2 linked regions of the Arabidopsis thaliana genome follow. The protein of the gene in region 1 binds, or shares a complex with, the protein of each later gene. Each region holds a gene or a part of one and is shown in the gene's direction. Other genes may lie near its edges.

Evidence for each region. The genes of interacting proteins can lie anywhere in the genome.
Region 2: the proteins of PEX22 (region 1) and PEX4 are in contact, whole or in part, in a crystal structure (PDB 6XOD), measured with the Arabidopsis thaliana proteins. Residues at the interface, in NP_566696.2 of Arabidopsis thaliana: Tyr182 (codon at 3,204), Val187 (codon at 3,219), Leu188 (codon at 3,222), Asp189 (codon at 3,225), Asp190 (codon at 3,228), Glu193 (codon at 3,237), Asp214 (codon at 3,606), Lys215 (codon at 3,609), Leu217 (codon at 3,767), Phe218 (codon at 3,770), Cys219 (codon at 3,773), Ser220 (codon at 3,776), Thr221 (codon at 3,779), Gly224 (codon at 3,788), Ser227 (codon at 3,797), Phe228 (codon at 3,800), Arg230 (codon at 3,806), Gln231 (codon at 3,809), Leu232 (codon at 3,812), Glu233 (codon at 3,815); in NP_001031939.1 of Arabidopsis thaliana: Phe78, Phe84, Lys85, Asn125, Asp127, Asn130, Leu131, Gly135, Asp136, Val137, Arg138, Gly139, Ser142, Met143, Met146, Tyr147, Arg149, Leu150.

The regions. Positions count from the first base shown.
Region 1 is NC_003074.8:7,700,459-7,705,354, reverse strand, and holds PEX22 (peroxin 22), read left to right. Parts: upstream 1-1,850; 5' UTR 1,851-2,136; coding exon 2,137-2,256; intron 2,257-2,514; coding exon 2,515-2,766; intron 2,767-2,842; coding exon 2,843-2,890; intron 2,891-3,002; coding exon 3,003-3,059; intron 3,060-3,137; coding exon 3,138-3,239; intron 3,240-3,545; coding exon 3,546-3,611; intron 3,612-3,763; coding exon 3,764-3,865; intron 3,866-3,942; coding exon 3,943-4,047; 3' UTR 4,048-4,352; downstream 4,353-4,896. Other genes in the region: CYCP2;1 (cyclin p2;1), read left to right, coding at 542-927, 1,182-1,428. UniProt on the Arabidopsis thaliana protein: May be tethered PEX4 to the peroxisome membrane and may be involved in a late step of the matrix protein import. Does not play a role in the biogenesis of the peroxisomal membrane.
Region 2 is NC_003076.8:8,966,046-8,969,881, forward strand, and holds PEX4 (peroxin4), read left to right. Parts: upstream 1-1,609; 5' UTR 1,610-1,673; exon of another isoform or gene 1,674-1,906; 5' UTR 1,907-1,937; coding exon 1,938-1,943; intron 1,944-2,026; coding exon 2,027-2,275; intron 2,276-2,357; coding exon 2,358-2,487; intron 2,488-3,039; coding exon 3,040-3,128; 3' UTR 3,129-3,262; downstream 3,263-3,836. Other genes in the region: AT5G25757 (RNA polymerase I-associated factor PAF67), read right to left, coding at 1-930, 1,062-1,415; AT5G25770 (alpha/beta-Hydrolases superfamily protein), read right to left, coding at 3,263-3,367, 3,453-3,550, 3,628-3,774. UniProt on the Arabidopsis thaliana protein: Required for peroxisome biogenesis. Necessary for the developmental elimination of obsolete peroxisome matrix proteins. May be involved in the ubiquitination of PEX5, targeting it for recycling.

The DNA.
Region 1 (4,896 bases):
AATGGCCACATAACATTATATGACCTATGCATAAACTCTCCTTATCAAAACATTAAACATGTATGCAGTGACCGGCAACGCGTATGCCTTTTTTCAAATAATGTATCTAACATTAATTTACATCTATATATAGTATTTACATCAAGAATATATTCCAGCGTATGTAGTAAAATTTGTGTACTGTGAGACTTTTCAAAGGAAATTGTACCGGACGAGAAAATTATGGACCAAGACCCGGAAACTTAATTTTGGGTAATAATGCTAGTAATATGCAGAAAATTAAGTGGAAAATAAAGTTATTTGTTTGATAAATGATAACTAATTTCATTGCTCAAGGTATACAAAAATCATCGGAATCCTATCTTCTCGCGAAGTGACACGTGTCAAAACCATCTCACACTCGTCCAAAGTCAGACGAAACATGATAACATCCCCACGTAACATCTTAAGCTCATCGTATCTCAACCACCCAATCTACAAGCCATATATACCCAAAACGAACTATACAACATGGCCCATTAACGAAAACTGAAGAGAACCCATGTTAACCGCAGCCGGAGACGATGAACTGGACCCGGTCGTGGGACCAGAATCGGCAACGGAAGCAGCCACTCCAAGAGTGCTGACTATAATCTCCCATGTGATGGAGAAGCTCGTGGCACGAAACGAGTGGTTAGCTAAGCAAACTAAGGGATTTGGGAAGAGCTTGGAGGCGTTTCACGGCGTGAGAGCGCCGAGCATAAGTATAGCTAAATACCTTGAGAGGATATATAAGTACACAAAATGTAGCCCGGCATGTTTCGTTGTTGGGTATGTGTACATAGACCGGTTGGCTCATAAGCATCCTGGTTCTTTGGTTGTCTCCTTGAATGTTCATAGACTCCTCGTCACTTGTGTCATGATTGCTGCCAAGATACTAGATGACGTGTAAGTAAGCCTTTCTTGAATTTCTATAATATCTTGAAATTAGACTAATCATGAAACTATAGATCATAGTTGTATCTTAATTGATTAACAAAATGAAAGATACATTTTATATCTAACCAATATAAAATGAGGACAAACTTTGTACCTATATGTATGTTAAGTGCCCCTTTTAAGTTATTGATTTCAAGGTTTCAACATGTATTGGATGAGATAAGAGAGGTTTTCGTTTTTTCTAACAAATTTCATATTCACAGGCACTACAACAACGAGTTCTATGCTCGGGTTGGAGGCGTAAGCAATGCAGACTTGAACAAAATGGAGTTGGAGCTTCTCTTTCTTCTTGACTTTAGAGTTACTGTGAGTTTTAGAGTTTTCGAGAGCTATTGCTTTCACCTCGAAAAAGAGATGCAACTAAACGACGCCGTTTCTTCCCTCAAAGATATTCAACCAATGCAAGAAAGTCTCTCTCCAGCATCTACTTTATCATCTTTATATGTTTGATATATGTATATGAATTTTTTTAATATAACTTTTAACTGAACGCGTTTGGTTGACAGAAAAAGTTTACGCACTAACTATCGAAATTTTATTTATATTTTGAAGAAATTATCTCAAATTTTTGCTAGAGAAAAATAATTGAAATCTCAAACTATGTATACTAGAGATTTTACAATGTAAATCTGTTAAGTTAAATAGTTTGTAGATTTCAACTAAATGATATAAGCTATTTTTTCCTACATTTTGCACATGTTGTTTTGTTCTTCAGGTTCATCTCTCTATTTTCTTCTTTTCACTGTAAAATGATACTCCATGATGACTTAAGTATCCAACAACAACAAACCAAAATCCAATTCTAGTTTCCTAGTTTTCTTACTCCTCCAATCGTCTTCGGTTTATCGTGTAAAATTTCCTTTACATAAGAGCAAAACGCACCGTTTCGTACAGATCAGATCCATCGCACCCTATGATAAAAAACAATGGTCTCACACGCTCATCCACCACCACGTGTTTAACAAGACACGTGTCCAAACAAATTGACTTTGCCTAGTTGTGTTCTAATGGAAAAGTAAAATTCCTCTTTTCTCTCTTAGTTCAGGGAGGAGGCTCGAGAACAGTGCCCCATATCTGAAAGCTGAAGCTAAGAATCTGGACGTTCGTGTTTAAACCGACGACGTATTTGAAATTGGCTTTGAAGGAAAGGTGAAATTAATGGCGGAATCGTCGTCGCCGTCGCCTACTGAAGAGATCGTTCGGTTGATTAAGCGTTTAAGCGCTTACGTTGCTTTCAAAATGTCAAGCCTTTTCTCCACTACATCGATTCGAAATCTGGTTCCTTTCTCGATCTCTCTCTCTATTTACAACGTTTCTGTATCGGATCTGGTGTGAATTGTGGTTTTTCGTTGGTGGGAAGTGAATCCAATTTTTGACAAATTGATCTTCAAATTGATGAAACTAATTACTTAATGTTATGATTCAGCTCAAATTTGAGTGATTTTAGGTGATTTGGGATTAGAAAGATCGAAACTTTTGAGTTATTATTGTTATGTAAGTTGATTTGTTTTTGCTATTGATGTTGTTGTGATTTAGGATTCAAGATCAATTGGTGCGATTGCGGGGCTTGCGATTGCGGTGATATTTACGTGGAGGGCGATAAGAACGCCCGGAGAGCAACGTCAGAGAAGGCAGCCGAAGCGTAGGATTCACAATGCTGAAACGTCTAGTGCTGCTGCTGCTGCTTCTCAGTCGAATCTAGCTTCTTCGGTTGCTCCGGAAGTTTCTTCGCCTCGTGAGGATAATGCGGTGCAAGATGTTGTTGATCAGTTCTTTCAACCTGTTAAAGTAACATTCTTTTTCTCTAAACAGTTTGAAATTTTGTGTTATAGAGTATTATTCACTTTGTTCTGTATTTTTGCAGCCTACTTTGGGGCAAATAGTTAGACAGAAGCTTAGTGAAGGAAGGAAGGTAATTTTATATCAGTATTAATATTCTCAGAGCTATGGATAGTGTTTGGTCATGTTAGGCACCTTATTGAAGCGTTGGTTTTATTATTGAGTTGTCTAATATGCATTTGTAGGTAACATGCCGTCTTCTTGGAGTAATTCTTGAGGAAACAAGTCCAGAAGAACTCCAAGTAATGATATTTTCGTTTTGAGATTTTATTTATATAGTGTGTGATGCGTTTGTATCTGAGACGAGTGATTTTATGCAGAAACAAGCCACAGTGAGGTCATCTGTTTTGGAAGTTCTACTAGAGATTACAAAGTATAGTGATTTGTATCTTATGGAAAGAGTTCTTGACGATGAAAGCGAGGTGAGCATTTGTTTTTCTCTCTCATTCGTGTTCTTTTGTTTGCCTTCGTGTTGGAACTAGTCTCTAGTAGGACAGAGTAAATTAGTTGTGGTTATTATTGAACATGGTTAGCTTAAATACTCGGGCAGTAGGTCATAACATTACATGGATATTCATATCGATAATAGTTGGTCGATGAATAATGTGTAATTAGAAGGATTCTTAAGCACATATCTTTACATTATTAGAGGAATCGAGTTCATTGGTGTTACTATATGCTTATTGTCAGTAGTTTCTGAAACTCACATTTTGAGCTCTAATTTGCAGGCCAAAGTTTTACAGGCTTTAGAGAATGCAGGAGTTTTTACATCTGGTGGTTTAGTCAAAGATAAGGTATTCAAATCAAGCTTTCTTCTACAAAATCTTGCACTCGTTAGCGGTCTTAGAAAGCCTTCCAATAATCGTATCAAAGCATGACTTTCGATATTGCTGTGTATGTTTCGAGAAAATGTAAGAATCACAATTCTGTAAACATGAAATTGCAGGTGCTCTTTTGTAGTACAGAGATAGGAAGAACTTCCTTTGTCAGACAGCTAGAACCTGACTGGCATATTGATACAAACCCGGAAATCAGCACACAACTAGCTGTAAAGTCATTTCCTTGTTTACTCATTTACATTCTTACCTTAGCTTTTAGTTTAACTCATTCCCCTCTTATTTGCAGAGGTTCATCAAATATCAGCTTCATGTCGCTACGGTGAAACCCGAGCGAACAGCTCCAAATGTGTTCACCTCGCAGTCAATAGAACAGTTCTTTGGAAGTGTTTAATATCAACAAAAAAAGAGAGGTGAAAGATATTACGTTGTCCTGACTTAAGCATCGTTGATCGAGTGTCTCTTAGGCTGAAACTTGAAACTTGTTTTTCATTTTTCTTTGATTGTGTCTAAATTAAAGTTTGATATACATTTGGAGTTAGATATTACTGCGAGTGCCTCTGTGAAAGTATCCAAGTTTGTAATTTTTGTATTAGCAACTTAGCAAAATTCTTTAAGAAATAAACAAATGTCCGTTGTTTAGTCATTAGTTCATCGACGAAGTGTGGATTAGTTCTATATCGAAATGCTTAAAGAAAATATGACTTGCTTATATTTTTCCTTGATTTAATTCATTTATATTATAAAGTAATACTTCATATAGTTGGTAAAAAAAATCCTGATCTGTATGTGAAAAACAGTGGATGATCAAATAAAACTGTGTACTGAATTGTCCTAATTGGAACATTTGTGGTATTAAGAGAAAACAAAGAGATCTTCTAGACATTGCCGTGTAATACTAAGATCAATTAATTCTGTGAAAAACAGTGGATGATCAAATAAAACTGTGTACTGAAGTTTCCTAATTGGAACATTTGTGGTATTAAGTGAAAACAAAGAGATCTCGACATGCCGTGTAATAATATTAAGATCAATTAATTGCGTAAGACGTGATATTTATGCATGCATTTATAGAAACTTTGAAGACGCGTTATGTGTATAAAACAACATCATAGTGCATTTTTAATAAAAAAAGTTTATTTGGAATATTTGAGTAGGTGGTTAGTCCAATATATAAAATTGAATTACATATAATCTTACAAGTAAACACGATAAAAAGTTGTGGTTTTAGCTTTAAAAGACT
Region 2 (3,836 bases), on another chromosome or scaffold:
AATGGAGGAGTAGACTTTCAGGAAAGTCCGCACTCCCGACAAGAGCTGCTGCTGCTTTACCTCGTAAAGGAACATCTTCAGCTGAAGCCTGTATGCATCCTGATTGTAATTGACAAGAGGTTCCTCGAAAGTTGGTGGTGCGGAAGGGGTGATAAACTTGGGGCATGCGTAAGAGAAGAGCTCATCATAAATACCAAAGGCCTCGTCGTCAGACCTCAGCATCCTCATCATCTTTTCACCATACTTGTCTCGCAGCTGAGAGTTGACAGACTCGTCAACGAGTTTAGTTTGAGGGCAGAGGGAGAGGGAGAGAGCAAGCAAAGCGTACATCTGCTCATTCTTCTTGAGTAATTGCTCGTACTGAGGTGACTTTTGATGGTACTGCTTAGTCTTGAAAATGTAGAGGAGAATCTTGTTGAACTCACGAACAGCATCGACATACCTCCGCAACATAAGGGTGGCAAATCCATAGTGGTAGATAGTAGCGATATGGCAACCAATGACACTGGTGTAAACACCTGGCTGAGTGATGTCAATGGGCTGCAACCATTTGAGAGCAGTGTGGTAGTCACCGAGGAGGCAGTGAACACGCAAGAGACCGACCATGCTGAAGTAACCGAGGACCTTCAAGACGTTGCTGCCACCGCTGAAATCGTAGCCATCAGTCTCAGTGAACTCAAGGCCATCCTTGTCATGCTCAAGGATCTGGATGATACAAGACTTCTCCACAAGTGCTTGCAAGAAGTTGAGCACGCCATAGACATTCCAGGCCTTATCGTGCTGTCTGAGCAATGCAATCTCCTCCTCTGTTTTGTTCTTGAGCTTTGCTCTGAATTGACAGAAACTTTGGAACTGGTAGACAAACTCATCCACCATATCCCACAACCACTGGTTCGGCAACTGCATATTCACTACGCCGTGCAACACAACCTAGAAAGAACAAACGGAAGAAGGTCTACTTACTTGTATTTATTCCCAGCCAATACATACACAAAAGAAATCAAAATCAACAACATCTCTATCTAACAAGGAAGAAGAAGTAGAAGAATTCCACAACAGACCTGAAAGAGGCTGCAATAGTTGTCATAAGAATCAATCCTCTGCTTCAACGTCGGAGACAACCTCGCATACAAATGTCGAAACCACATCTCACGGTACAGAAGACAGAACACATGGTCGTTGTCTACGTAAGGAGCAATCGCTTCCACACTTGGCCACGGCGTGTCCTTGAACAGACGCTCCGATATGCTCTGGAACGATGTCTCACACATCTGGTGGATCTCGTACACGTTCTTATCCCTTATGTGTCTGTACATGTGTGACACGAACGACTTCACCGAATCCGGCACCATATTTGGGTCGTACCCACTCTCCCTCTCCCCCGGACCTTCCTCATACTCATTGCTGCTCGCCATTCTCGCCGGATCAATTCTTAGCGGCCGCAACAATGTTAGCTCTTAACTCACTACCACCGCCTAGGGTTTCCTTATTACCACCGGTTCTATCATCCGGTTTCGTTTCCTTATTACCACCGGTTCTATCATCCGGTTATGTTTTTTTATAAAGTCATTTTAATAAAACTTTCTATGGTTCGGAAAAAAAAAACTTCACATAATCATCGCTATTCTCTCTCTCTCTCTCTCTCTCTCTCTCTCTCGCTCTCATATTTGCAGGTAAAGCTTCGTTGATTCGTCCTCTTTATGTTCAATTATAGTTTCGCATCCCTCCTATGTCTTTCTTTCTAGATCTTAAAGCAGAGTCATTGCTTAACCCTAATTATCACTGTTCTTGTATAAAACACTTTTCACCTAATCATTGAGATTGTTACGGGATCTGATAATTGCGTCTGTGAATTACAAGAAATTAGGGTTTATTTCTTCTTGATTTTAGATTGATCTTTTTGCAGTTGACAATTCGTTCTCTTTGGGAAATTAGAGATGCAGGTAAATTGCTTAATTTTTTTTTTGTTTTGTTGCAAATTCTCTGTGTATGTTTATGATTTGATTTGATTTGATTGATGTAATAGGCATCAAGAGCGCGACTGTTTAAAGAATACAAAGAGGTACAGCGAGAGAAAGTAGCAGATCCTGATATTCAATTGATCTGTGACGATACCAACATATTCAAATGGACCGCTCTTATCAAAGGACCTTCGGAGACTCCTTACGAAGGCGGTGTTTTTCAGCTTGCTTTTTCTGTTCCTGAACCTTATCCTTTGCAACCTCCTCAAGTTCGATTCTTGACCAAGATATTCCATCCTAATGTTCATTTCAAGGTTTGCATCTCTTTTTATAACAACCTTCTCCTGTGATAAAAGGAAACGCAGGTTTTTTAGTTAGTACTTGGGAATTTTGTAGACAGGAGAAATATGTCTCGACATTTTGAAGAATGCTTGGAGTCCTGCTTGGACGCTTCAGTCTGTGTGTAGAGCTATCATAGCATTGATGGCTCATCCTGAGCCGGACAGTCCTCTTAACTGCGACTCAGGTACAAAATGCTAGTTTAGTGTTTTCAAAAATGTAACCATGGGCGTTCGGGTATTCGGTTTGGTTCCCGTTCGGTTCTAGTTCGGTTCCGATTCTTTCTGTTCTCGATTTTAGGATCCATATAGGAACCGAAACAGTTTCAGTTCGGTTCAGGTTCGGGTTCGGTTCTGAAGTTTAGGATCCATTAGAATATTTTATTTCGAATATTTCAGATATTTTTTGTCTTTTTTTCCGGATATTTTGGTGTTTTTATATATTTTTCCTTATTTGGGTATTTTTGATTATTCAAACTAAAAATAACTAATATCTTTGGATATATAATCATATTTCGGATACGCAAAATATTTTGGTTCGGTTCGGGTTCAGTTCTAATTACTTTGGTTCTAGAATTTAGGATCTATTTGAGTAGTTTACCATTTCGGGTCGGATTCGGGTTGCTTCAGTTCGGATTCGGTTCTTTCAGTTTGATTATTATGCCCATGCCTAGTTTTTATAGTAAGCAACTGTTTTTTTTTTCTACTGACGCTTTTGTTGTGGTTGCTATGGAAAAAAGGGAATCTTCTAAGATCTGGTGATGTGAGAGGGTTCAATTCAATGGCACAAATGTATACACGCCTCGCCGCTATGCCTAAGAAAGGATGATGATGATGATGATCCTCTTGCTTTTTTTTTGTTTTTTTTTTTGAAATTTGTAATGATATTGATTTGCGAGAGTGAATACATTATTAACGAGAAGAAGATGATTCTTCTTTATTAGTTCACAATATTACAATCTGTCAAGTTGTCATATCTTCTTGTTTAAGGAATTTGTCAAACCAGTCTGATGATTCTTTGATCATGAAACTCGTCGCTTCGTGTCCAACTCCATCTTCTGCTTTGAACTGCTCTCTCGAAACATCAAAAGTTTTTCTTTTTCAATTCTCTATCTGGTTGCAATAGTGTTTAAAGGTTAGATCAGTGATTTACCTTGAAGTTTCCAGGAGAAGCTGTTTCCTTATACGCCTTTTCAGCTCTCTTTAACGCAAGTTCTAGTCCGCCAAGAGGACATCGAGGATCATTTGCGCCTGCATATGAAATCCGAGAAAACTTGTAAGTTTGTTGGTAGTTAGTGAGATCATACATATATATTGATTGTGCTCACCGTTAAGGATGTAAAGAGGCCGTGGAGCAATCACTGGTAATGAGTACGGTGAATCAAACTTCGAAGCTAGGCCAGGAGCTATTCTGTTCCACACCTTCTCGACTAGTTCTTTGTCGATTATGTTCTTTCCGAGATCAATCCTTGCTTCTGGAACCATAGAAGAAGAAAAAAAGCAAAGGAATTAATTATAATCCTCATACTTATTATAT